2 linked regions of the Canis lupus familiaris genome follow. The protein of the gene in region 1 interacts with the protein of each later gene in a pairwise test. Links are inferred from orthologs where the notes say so. Each region holds a gene or a part of one and is shown in the gene's direction. Other genes may lie near its edges.

Evidence for each region.
Region 2: the proteins of EVL (region 1) and TRIM9 interact in binary tests that used the Homo sapiens proteins (3 or more experiments, as listed by UniProt). The two-hybrid records come from large-scale screens. The link is inferred for Canis lupus familiaris from reciprocal best matches to the Homo sapiens genes EVL and TRIM9.

What each region holds. Positions count from the first base shown.
Region 1 is NC_049229.1:68,866,735-68,871,489, forward strand, and holds part of EVL (ena/VASP-like protein), read left to right. Parts: intron 1-2,578; coding exon 2,579-2,645; intron 2,646-3,003; coding exon 3,004-3,061; intron 3,062-4,755. UniProt on the Homo sapiens protein: Ena/VASP proteins are actin-associated proteins involved in a range of processes dependent on cytoskeleton remodeling and cell polarity such as axon guidance and lamellipodial and filopodial dynamics in migrating cells.
Region 2 is NC_049229.1:27,611,997-27,616,751, reverse strand, and holds part of TRIM9 (E3 ubiquitin-protein ligase TRIM9), read left to right. Parts: intron 1-3,310; coding exon 3,311-3,468; intron 3,469-4,755. UniProt on the Homo sapiens protein: E3 ubiquitin-protein ligase which ubiquitinates itself in cooperation with an E2 enzyme UBE2D2/UBC4 and serves as a targeting signal for proteasomal degradation.

The sequences.
Region 1 (4,755 bases):
GCACAGGGGCTGGGACAGGCCTCTCAGAGGTGGCATTTGAGTTGACCTGCATGAGGAGGAGCCTGCCCTACAAAGAGCGTGGGGACAGTCTTCCGAGCTGGAGATGGTAAGTGCTGAGGCCCTGTGACCAACCCGGCAGTTCACAGAACAGGAAGCTGGCCAGCGTGGCTAGCAGGTGGCAGCAGGTGGGGAGGGGCCGGCAGGGGTCACGTGGCTGGAGGGCTGGGCTGCATTCTGTATGTGCTCACCGTGGTGGACCAGCACTCTCTCTGGCTGTGAGGGGGCCGGAGCCAAAGGAGGGGCCCCCGGGAGGAGGGAGGAGGTGAGGTGGCCAGGGGTGCGCTTGTGGCCCCCCAGCACTTCCTGCAGGTGGAGCATGGTGGGCTGCCAAGTGTTCCCACTTGGGATGGGGCTCTCCACCTCTGAGACCAGTGTGCTCTCCAGTTCCACGGAGGGCTCCGAAGGGGGCAGGCGGCCACAGTCTGCCTCGGGTGACCCCGGGGGAGCTGTCAGGTGTGCATGTGGGAGAACCAGAGCCCCGACAGGTGAAACAGTTTGTCCAGGTGGCCCCAGAAATGGCTGCTGGAACAGGCCCCGACCCCACAGACGGACATGTGGGCCGGGGGTCTCAGGCTGCACCTCCTTCCCCACCAGGATCCAAAGCTATTTAGTGTCCTTCAGAACCACACTGGCCTCTCTTCAGTTCAGCCAGGAGAGGAGCAGGAGCATGTTCTTCTTGGATTTCTTTTTTTTTTTTTTCTTAAGGTTTAATTTATTGAGAGAGAGCACAAGAGCAGGGGGGGAGGCAGAGGGAGAAGCAGACTCCCCGCTGAGCTGGGAGCCCCACACGGGGTTCGATCCCAGGACCCTGAGACCATGACCTGAGCCAAAGGCAGCCACTTCACCAACTGAGCCCCTCCTTTTTTTTTTTTTTTTTTTTTTATTCCAGGTTTAGGTATTAGACCCCTAGATTTATTCAGGGGTTGGTTTTCTCAGCTTTTTAAAAATATAGTTGACATCCAGCATCGTCTGAGTGTGATGTGTGCAACACGGCGATCGATGTCTGTGTGATCTGTGTCTGTGAGAGGTCTGTGAGATGCTCACCGTGATGAGGTTAGCGGACACAGCCACCACTCGGGGTCAAGATCCTGTCTTAGCCGCCTCTAGGGTACCACACCATGCGCTCAGCTGTGGCCACCATGCTGCGCATTAGATCCCAGAACTCACGACTACACCCGGAGGCGTGTGCCCTTTGACCTCCTTCACCCGCCCCGGCCGACAGCCACCTATCTGCCGTGTTCCTGTGGGCTCGCCAGTGAGACCAGCAGTGCTTGCCTTCCTCTGCCTGCTGATCCAGCCAGCGTCGTACCCTCGGGGTGTCCTGGCGTCCCTGTTGTCACTCGCGGCAGGACTCGGTTTTTAGGGCCGGGTGCACTGCATCTTCTTCGTTCGTCTGTCAGCAGACGGTACTTCCACGTCGAGGCCACTGTCAGTAACGTTGCCGTGACCCGGGGGGCCCTGCCTTCAGGACCGCAGTCTTCCTTCCTTCAGACACCCCCAGCAGCAGCTCTGGCCTGGGTTGTCGTGGGCCCTCCCTGCTGCCCGAGGTGGCCACCCACACACACTGCGGCTGCCCAGCCTGCCCCGTCCCTAGAGAGGAGCCCCTCGCAGCCATGCTGGCTGGCCCTGCCGGGTCACGTGTGTGTCCACCATCCGTCACCTCCGTGGTCCTCACAGCCGGCTCGGGCCACACCACTTCCCTGGTCCCGCAGGCTCCAGCCGCCATTCTCTCCACGGGAGATGAGTGGGCTTCAGACGGTGGGCCCCTCCGCCCCCACTGCCCTGTTCTAGAGGCTGAGTGCTCAGATGAGCATTCTGTAAAGATTTTCCAGGGATGGTTCCCATGCAAGAGACATTAACTATCGAACTAGCTAACCTTAGTTCAGCAGCGTTTCAAAGGACAGTCCGTGTGACCGAGACCCTTTGCCTCAGAAGAGCAACACCACATCCAAGGACGTTTCCTGAAAAAAAAGTTACACGCTAGGACCAGTTCCCAACGCCAGGGAGGTTGGTTGGTTGGAAGCAGATGCTGTTGGGATGAGTGTTTACTGTGTGATTTTTGTGACTTTGCATCCTACGTAAAGTCCTCGTCACTGGTTTCCCCGAGCCCCGGTTTAGGCAGGGACAGATCCCTCACCAGCGAGGAGCTTGCCGGTGTCTGCTGTCCAGAGCGGGCAGTGCGACCGGAACAGTGACCGTGGCATTGGCGCGTCTGTGTACGAGCTCTCACGTCCCCACACAGCCCCTTCGTTGTACCCCGCGGTTGGGAAGGCTGGCCACGGTGTTCATGAGACCCTCTTGAGGTGGAGACGTGCCACTAGACTCCTTTCAGGGTAGCTCAAGGCTGGCCAGGCGTAAAAGCAAAAAGCTTCTGATGGGAAGAGGGCAGTGCTTGACGCCCGGGCCTCGGCCCTGCGCTTGGAGGCCCTGGCACACCCGCCTGCCTTATCTGTCCCCGCGTGGTGGGCGCCCGCCAGGACCTGCTGCCCTCCTTACCGCACCCTGCCACCCTCTCCAGGATGAAGCCGGTGGGGAGCGTGAATGACGTGGCCTTGGATGCCTTAGATTTGGATCGGATGAAACAGGTGAGTGTGACCTTTCCTGAGAGGCTGTGCAGGAGCCAGAGGCTGGGACCCTCTCATGTCCACGCGGGCAGGCAGGGTGGCCAGAGGTCTGTCAGGGGGCGTCCACGCTCAGCACTGGGCCCCCAACCCCATCAGCAGCAGAGAAGCCTCCCTCTGCCCTTCTGGCCCCCCAGCCTGCTCTGGGGCCGCCCCTGGTTTCTGCAGCAGGACTTGGGGTGGGGTGCCGTCTCCCATTCACTCCAACCTTGCCCTGTGGGGACGCAAATAAGATGCGTCCTTGGGACACACCGCCCCTGGCAAAGCCAGCTTCCTCCACTCTGTTTCCTGTCCCTTCACTTTGAAGCTCTGCTCCCTACAGGAGATCCTCGAGGAGGTAGTCCGAGAGCTCCACAAAGTGAAGGAGGAAATCATCGACGGTGAGTGGAGGGCCTGCCCCGGGACGTCAGCCAGGGTCCCTGCGGGGCGGCGGGGCGGCCCGCCCCCTGGGCTGCGAGGCAGCGGAGCCGTGCTGGCCCAGCAGGGAGACCATCCTGGGCCCAGACGCCCAAGGTCCCGTGGCCACGGTTCTGTCCCTCCTGCTGATCACATCCCCCCCGTTCTCTGGTCAAGCCAACTGAGGCTCAGTTAAGTGACTTGCCCAAGATATGTATGTTCCTGGTGGGGTGACAGCTAGATCTGCACTCACCCGGCTTCCTCCCTGGGGTGAATGTGTGAGTGTGGACCGGGAGAGTGATCCGAGGATGCGTTCCTGAGCAAGACCAGTGAAGCAGCCTGAACGGTGATCCTTGGCTGCCTCAGCATCTGTGCACTCAGACCGCCGTCCCTGAGTCTCCCACCTTTGATCACCGGGTTTGGGTTAGGAGGGCGGCTGCTGCCTTCCTGGGGGTGGGGGTGGGGGGGTAACGGAGACCAAGAAGCTCCGGGACGACCTGTGGGTCTGACACAGTTCCCAGCGGGCCTGGCCTTGGGCCGGGAGGGCAGGCATGTGTCTCCCGCTCCGAGTGTTGAGTGTCGGGCTCCCGAGGGCAGGGCCCTTGCAGTGGATCACATCCGTCCTTCCGGTTCCTGCCAGAGCCTTTGATACACTGGCTCAGGTCCCAAGCCAGAGGAAGAGGAGAGGTTCAGGCAGAGCCGGCTGGCCCCGGGAGCAAGCAGAGAGGCGCAGCTTGGGCCCCCCACCCCACCAAGCCTGGGCCTGGCCCCCGAGGCAGCAGAGGGGACCCCGGCAATGAGCTAAAAGGGGTGGGTGCTGGTGGCAGGCGGCTGGAGAGAGGGGAGGCCAGGATGGGAGCCTGCGTGTGGGGCCAGAGATCCAACCCCCTGCCCCGAGCTGTGAGCACCGCGCCCTGTCCTTGCCCCAGCCGAGAACTGGTGTTCCTGTTTGTCCAGTCCCCCCCGCAGGCCTGGGATGGGCAGATAAGGAGTTAATGAATGAAGAGCGAGGCTCAGCTGGGAGCCAGAGAGGACACAGGCCAACTATTAACTCCGCTTTATTGCTGGGGGCCCCGTCTGGGAGGGGCCGCCAGCTGGCCCCGGGGCCAGAGCCCGTGGGCGCCAGAGCGGGGTTGCACAGCCAGGCTGGAGGCTGTGGGGGGGGGGGGGGGGGGGCAGCTGGGGCGGGTGCCGCAGGCCAGGCCCGGGGGGAAGCTGCCTCGAGGGTGGACCTCCCCTGAGGCCGGGGCAGCACGGGCCGGGGCTCCGAGGAGCATCCCCTGGTTGGATGAGTGCCCAGCACTTGGCTCTTTTGGCTCCAGGCCCGGGGGCGAGGGGGGTCTGTCCCCAGTGTCATGGTGAAATCTGTCCCCGCACTGCGGTGTCTGTGTCCACGTGGTACTAAACGCTCTCCCCCAAGTGTGGGGAGAGGGGTGGGGTCGGGGGGGCCGGGGAGAAGACGAGAGGCAGCGCTGCCAGGACAGTCCCCCTGCTCAAGGCCGGGCGCTACCTGCTGCCGCTGCCGGAACCAGGGGCCACCTGCCCGAGCGGCTCACAGGCCCCCACCGGCTCGGGGTGGCAGGCAGGTCGGGTCGCCCGCAGGGCTGTGCTGCCTGGGGACCCCTGGGTGCGGCGCCCAGGACACGGGGCCGGGCACAGCCCAGAGGCCCCCCCGGGG
Region 2 (4,755 bases), about 41 Mb from region 1:
TGCTGTGAAAACCACATGAGTGACTGCATCCTCTCACCACACTGCCAGGTATTTGGTAAGTGCTCAGAAAACATCAGCAGCCATTAGTTTCCACGTCCAGAGTGGGTGGCCATGTGTCCTTCCATGTCCTTGTCACACTCTTGTCCTATGACCTTTCACAGAGGAATCCTGCATCATTGTGAGTGTTGACAATCGGAAGGACTTGAAAAAAAAATAAATGACTATGAAAGATGTAAGTTATAATTTGAACTAGAATGGTAAGACATTTGAAAACTTTAAGGAGACACCATTGCAGAATTTAATTTTGAGCCAAGGCTCTACAAAGTCACCTTCAAGGAAGTCTGTAAGAACAGTTACCCTTATAACTAAGAAGAGAATTTTTAGCCTGAAGCTTGATTTTTATGAGCTAAAAGAATGCTGAGCAATAGACTTCTGATAAGGTCAGGAACCACTAGTTCTTTAGGAAAAACAAAAACGTCCAAGCGTGGTCAAAGTGTTAAGATTAAGACAGCTATGGCAGCCGAATGACAGAATTTTCAATGAAATAAAAATTCTTAGAGTTCAGCCCAGGAACTGTGATGCAATCCATTTCCAAAACACAAATAATAAGTTAATTTGAAAATACTCTGGATTCTTATAGACCATTTATTTTATACCTAATAAAGTGAAATAGGGTAATAACACCCACTATAAAATCTGCTTTTCTAAAATGTCAGCCTTAGTCTTTGCTAATGAGGCTGTAATTTTGTCACACTTGCCTTTTATATGCAACATCACTTTGGGGTAAATAAGGAAACAGAAAAAATAATTCTAAGCACATTGAGAAATAGATTTAGACATGCAAATGTCTCTATGTTCCTTCATTTTTGTTTCTCTCTCTTATTCTCTCTCCCTCCTTCTCTCATTTTGCTTATTTGTTTGCTTAATTTGTTTAAATTCTGAACAGTACTAAAATCTGAAGGTCAGTAAGTGGTTAGACTTTTTATTATCTTTTTGGTCTTTTAAAGTGTATCCACGGGGATCCCTGGGTGGCTCAGCGGTTTCGCGCCTGCCTTTGGCCCAGGGCACGATCCTGGAGTCCCGGGATCGAGTTCCGAGTCGGGCTCCTGGCATGGAGCCTGCTTCTCCCTCTGCCTGTGTCTCTGCCTCTCTCTCTCTCTCTCTCTCTCTCTCTCTCTCTCTTTCTCTATGTCTATCATAAATAAATAAAAATAAATCTTTTAAAAAAATTTAAAAAATAAAGTGTATCCACTGAGGACTTACAAATGAAGTTCCCATGTTTTAATTACACCTGACACCATGTATTTCAATTAATCTGTTAATTATACCTAATATCTATACAAGGAAACTTGAGTTTCTTATCAGAGACATTGCAAGCATTTGCATGATTCAAGCTGAAACCATCTTGTGATCTTATTCTTTGATTTTAAAATTGATGAAATGTAGATTTCCTTGAAACATAAAGGGAAATGAAGGGAAATAAAGGGAAAATGAAGGGAAATAAAGATTTCCCAATAAAGGGAAAATGAAGATTGATGAGCAGCTAATAAAATAAAGAGAATCCAAGGAATAGGTTGTTTTATTGTAGGCTCTGATTCATAAGGACAGCTAAGAGCAAATATCCCCAGGGAGAATCATTCCATCTCTAGAAGCCCTTTGAAGAACGGTTTGCTTAAATTTATCATAATTTACTCCCTGGTTAATATATTAAAGTTTATTATTTTTATTAGGGAAAAAATGTTGATGACAAAGTAGTTTCCTAATACATGATGACCTAAAGTTCACCCTCCAATTACAACTCTCAGGTGATATCTTGTTTATGAGTAGATGATCATTAGGAGTTACGTCTTCTCTCCCCCCCTTCCCATCCAGTCCTGTAGTCTATTCCTTGAACAAAGCAATGAATTATCTGCTTTCCTCTGATTCCAGATGTTCGGGAGCCTCTGAGGCTGTAGAAGCCACTCTTATAAGACCTACAGAACTCTATGCCATTGAAACCTGAAACACGATTTCCCTTACTAAACTCACCACCTCCAATTAACTGGTCATACTTTTGATTTCATTATGTTTGATGTAGTAACTCAGGCTTGGTTTTCTCGTCTTTTCATAAGTATAATCAACCTGCCTCACCTTCACATCTCTTGTGTTATGGTCACTGCTTTTGTTTTCTAGGCTATCCACCATAGAACCTGTTTCCTAAACTGCTATTAAATAAACCATTTTTGGCTGAGGTGCAGATTTTGGCAGGGAGCAGATAATTTGATGCATGACACAGAGTCCAATTTTGGTACAGCATACCAGGTGTTCTATAATTAACATTTGTTCATTTAAATGTCCCTGGATGTGGTCTAAACTGTTCTCTCTATTGTTAAAGTGCTACAGAAATAAATTAATGTTTTGGTGCTAAAAAAATTGTTAAGCAGTGGGTAAAAACATTGCTCCCAAATACATACATTGAGTTCATAGATTAGGAACTGGGATTGTTGTTATCCAACACTTCCATATCTGTGTGTCTAAAGGCTCAACCACTCTACAGTTTGAAGTAATAGAAAATACTCTCAGCACAAAATGGGGACAGGGGCATGTTGTGACTAGTAATACTGTGACAGATTCTCACAGAGTGGTAAGGACATTTTGACCCTCCCCTGCTGGGCCCCTTCTGCTCCCATACTACTCTCCAGGCTCACAGTTGGCTGTTCTACACCTGCAGAAAGTGGACTTGAGCTAGCGTAGCTACCTTCAAAGAATGAGGTCAAGTTCTTAGAAGTTTTGTTATGGAGAAATCACTGTTTTTATGTCACTTAGTACTAACTTTTCAAAAATTCACTGTTACAGCTACTTATACGCACAAGACCTTGAGTAGAATTGCTGGTAAAACCAACAAATAGACAAACAAAAACCTGCTCAGAATAGGCAGCTCCAAGTTTATACACTGGAGGTCAAGGCTCTGAATAAATTTAATGATAAGTTTTTCAGCCATGTTATGGGTTAAATAGGCTTTAGTGGGCTGAGCTGGAAACCCATCCCCCATAAAATACCTTCCCCTTAGGGATGATGTCTTCAGTGCCCAGGGGGTGAGAAACAGAGCAATTATCTCCCCGGCAGTTAAGGTAGGACGTATCATCATGAGTTTGGCAGAAGGCAGCACAGTGGCTCAGGAACCAGTCCCATTCCTAGAAACTCTGGAAGGGATCCAGGTCAGGTCCCCCATGGGCTAGCTACTTGGTTGATGAGGGGGATGTTTCTCATTCCAAGATACTGAAATGTTTGCAACTCAACAGAAGCCAGAGTTACACTAATTTCTGTTTAGCTTCCTCTCCAGTCCCAGCAACCCCCATTCTGCAGCTGGAGGAGTGTTGTACCCACAACAACAGTGCCACGCTGTCCTGGAAACAGCCACCTCTGTCCACGGTGCCTGCCGAAGGCTACATTCTGGAGCTGGATGATGGCAATGGTGGTCAGTTTCGGGTGAGTAGAGAATCTGTTATTTGTTAACCAAAGCCAGTGACCACCTCAGAGGACCCATTGTGGGGTCTCAAGCCAAGCTTCCCCACCTCCCCCGAGGCCAGACTATCCTGGCAGAGTCTGCCTCTCCTTCATCTGAGGCCTACATTCTTCTCGAACCATCATCAAAGACGGAGGAAAGAGTCTCTGAATAGAAACTACTCTACCCTCCTTAAGAGAAAGCACATGCCATACTACAAGCTCTGGAGTCCAGCTGCTTGCACTCAGGTCCCAATTCCACCATCTAGCGGTGTGACTGTGCCCATTTCTCACTTCTTTGAGCCTTCAGGACTTCGTCTGTAATATGAACCTGTACCTCACACATGGTTTTTAAGAGTCAGTTAGATAATCCGTATAAAATTCTTAGCATGCCAGGATCCCAGACCCCCATCTTGTTAGTGTCCCACCAGAGAGTTATCATTTTAAGGCTGTGCTTTGAATACAAAATATTTTTACTCATTACATCAGCATAATGTTGCAAAAGCATACAGCTAAAGAGGGAGGCACATGCCTAACCTATGCTAAAGATGCATCATGCTGCGATTTATTTTAAGCCTTTGAAATGTCATTCTTCCTCCCGCTCATTTCCTCCCCCCTTCCCTCTGCACTGTGATAAAACCTATACGCCTATGACTTTGAGTGTAATTTTTGTCACAGTTCCTGAAGTTACCAGTGGAGTTATAAACACAGCATAGAGACCACCCTCATGTTTTCCAAACAAGTTTTTACAAATCACACTGATGGGTAAAGAGTTGGGTAGGTATAATATATGTATAGATGCCAAGGTAATAGTAATAAGCATAATGCTAACTCTAAGCACTCAATTCTAGTGTTTTAAGCCCTAACCACTAGTAAATACCATGCATTAAGCTGACAGGCCCATGCTAAACATAAGGCACTATGTTAGTTTGTGCACAGAACCTCCTTCTATGATCATCATAGCAACCTCATAAACTGGGTATCATCTGTCCCCATTTTACAGATGAGGAAACTGAGACTTTAAAAGGCCAATTAGGGGTTCCTGGGTGGCTCAGTCGGTTGAGCATCCAACTCTTCGTTTCTGCTCAGATCATGAGTTCAGGGTCATGAGATCAAGCCCCACATTGGGCTCCGTACTTAGTGGGGAGTCTACTTGAGATTATCTGTCTCTCCCTCTCCCTCCTCTCCTCCCTTCCCCATTCTCTCTCTCTCAAATAATAAATAAATAAATAAATCTTTAAAAAGAAATGAAAAGGTCAATTACGTGGTTTG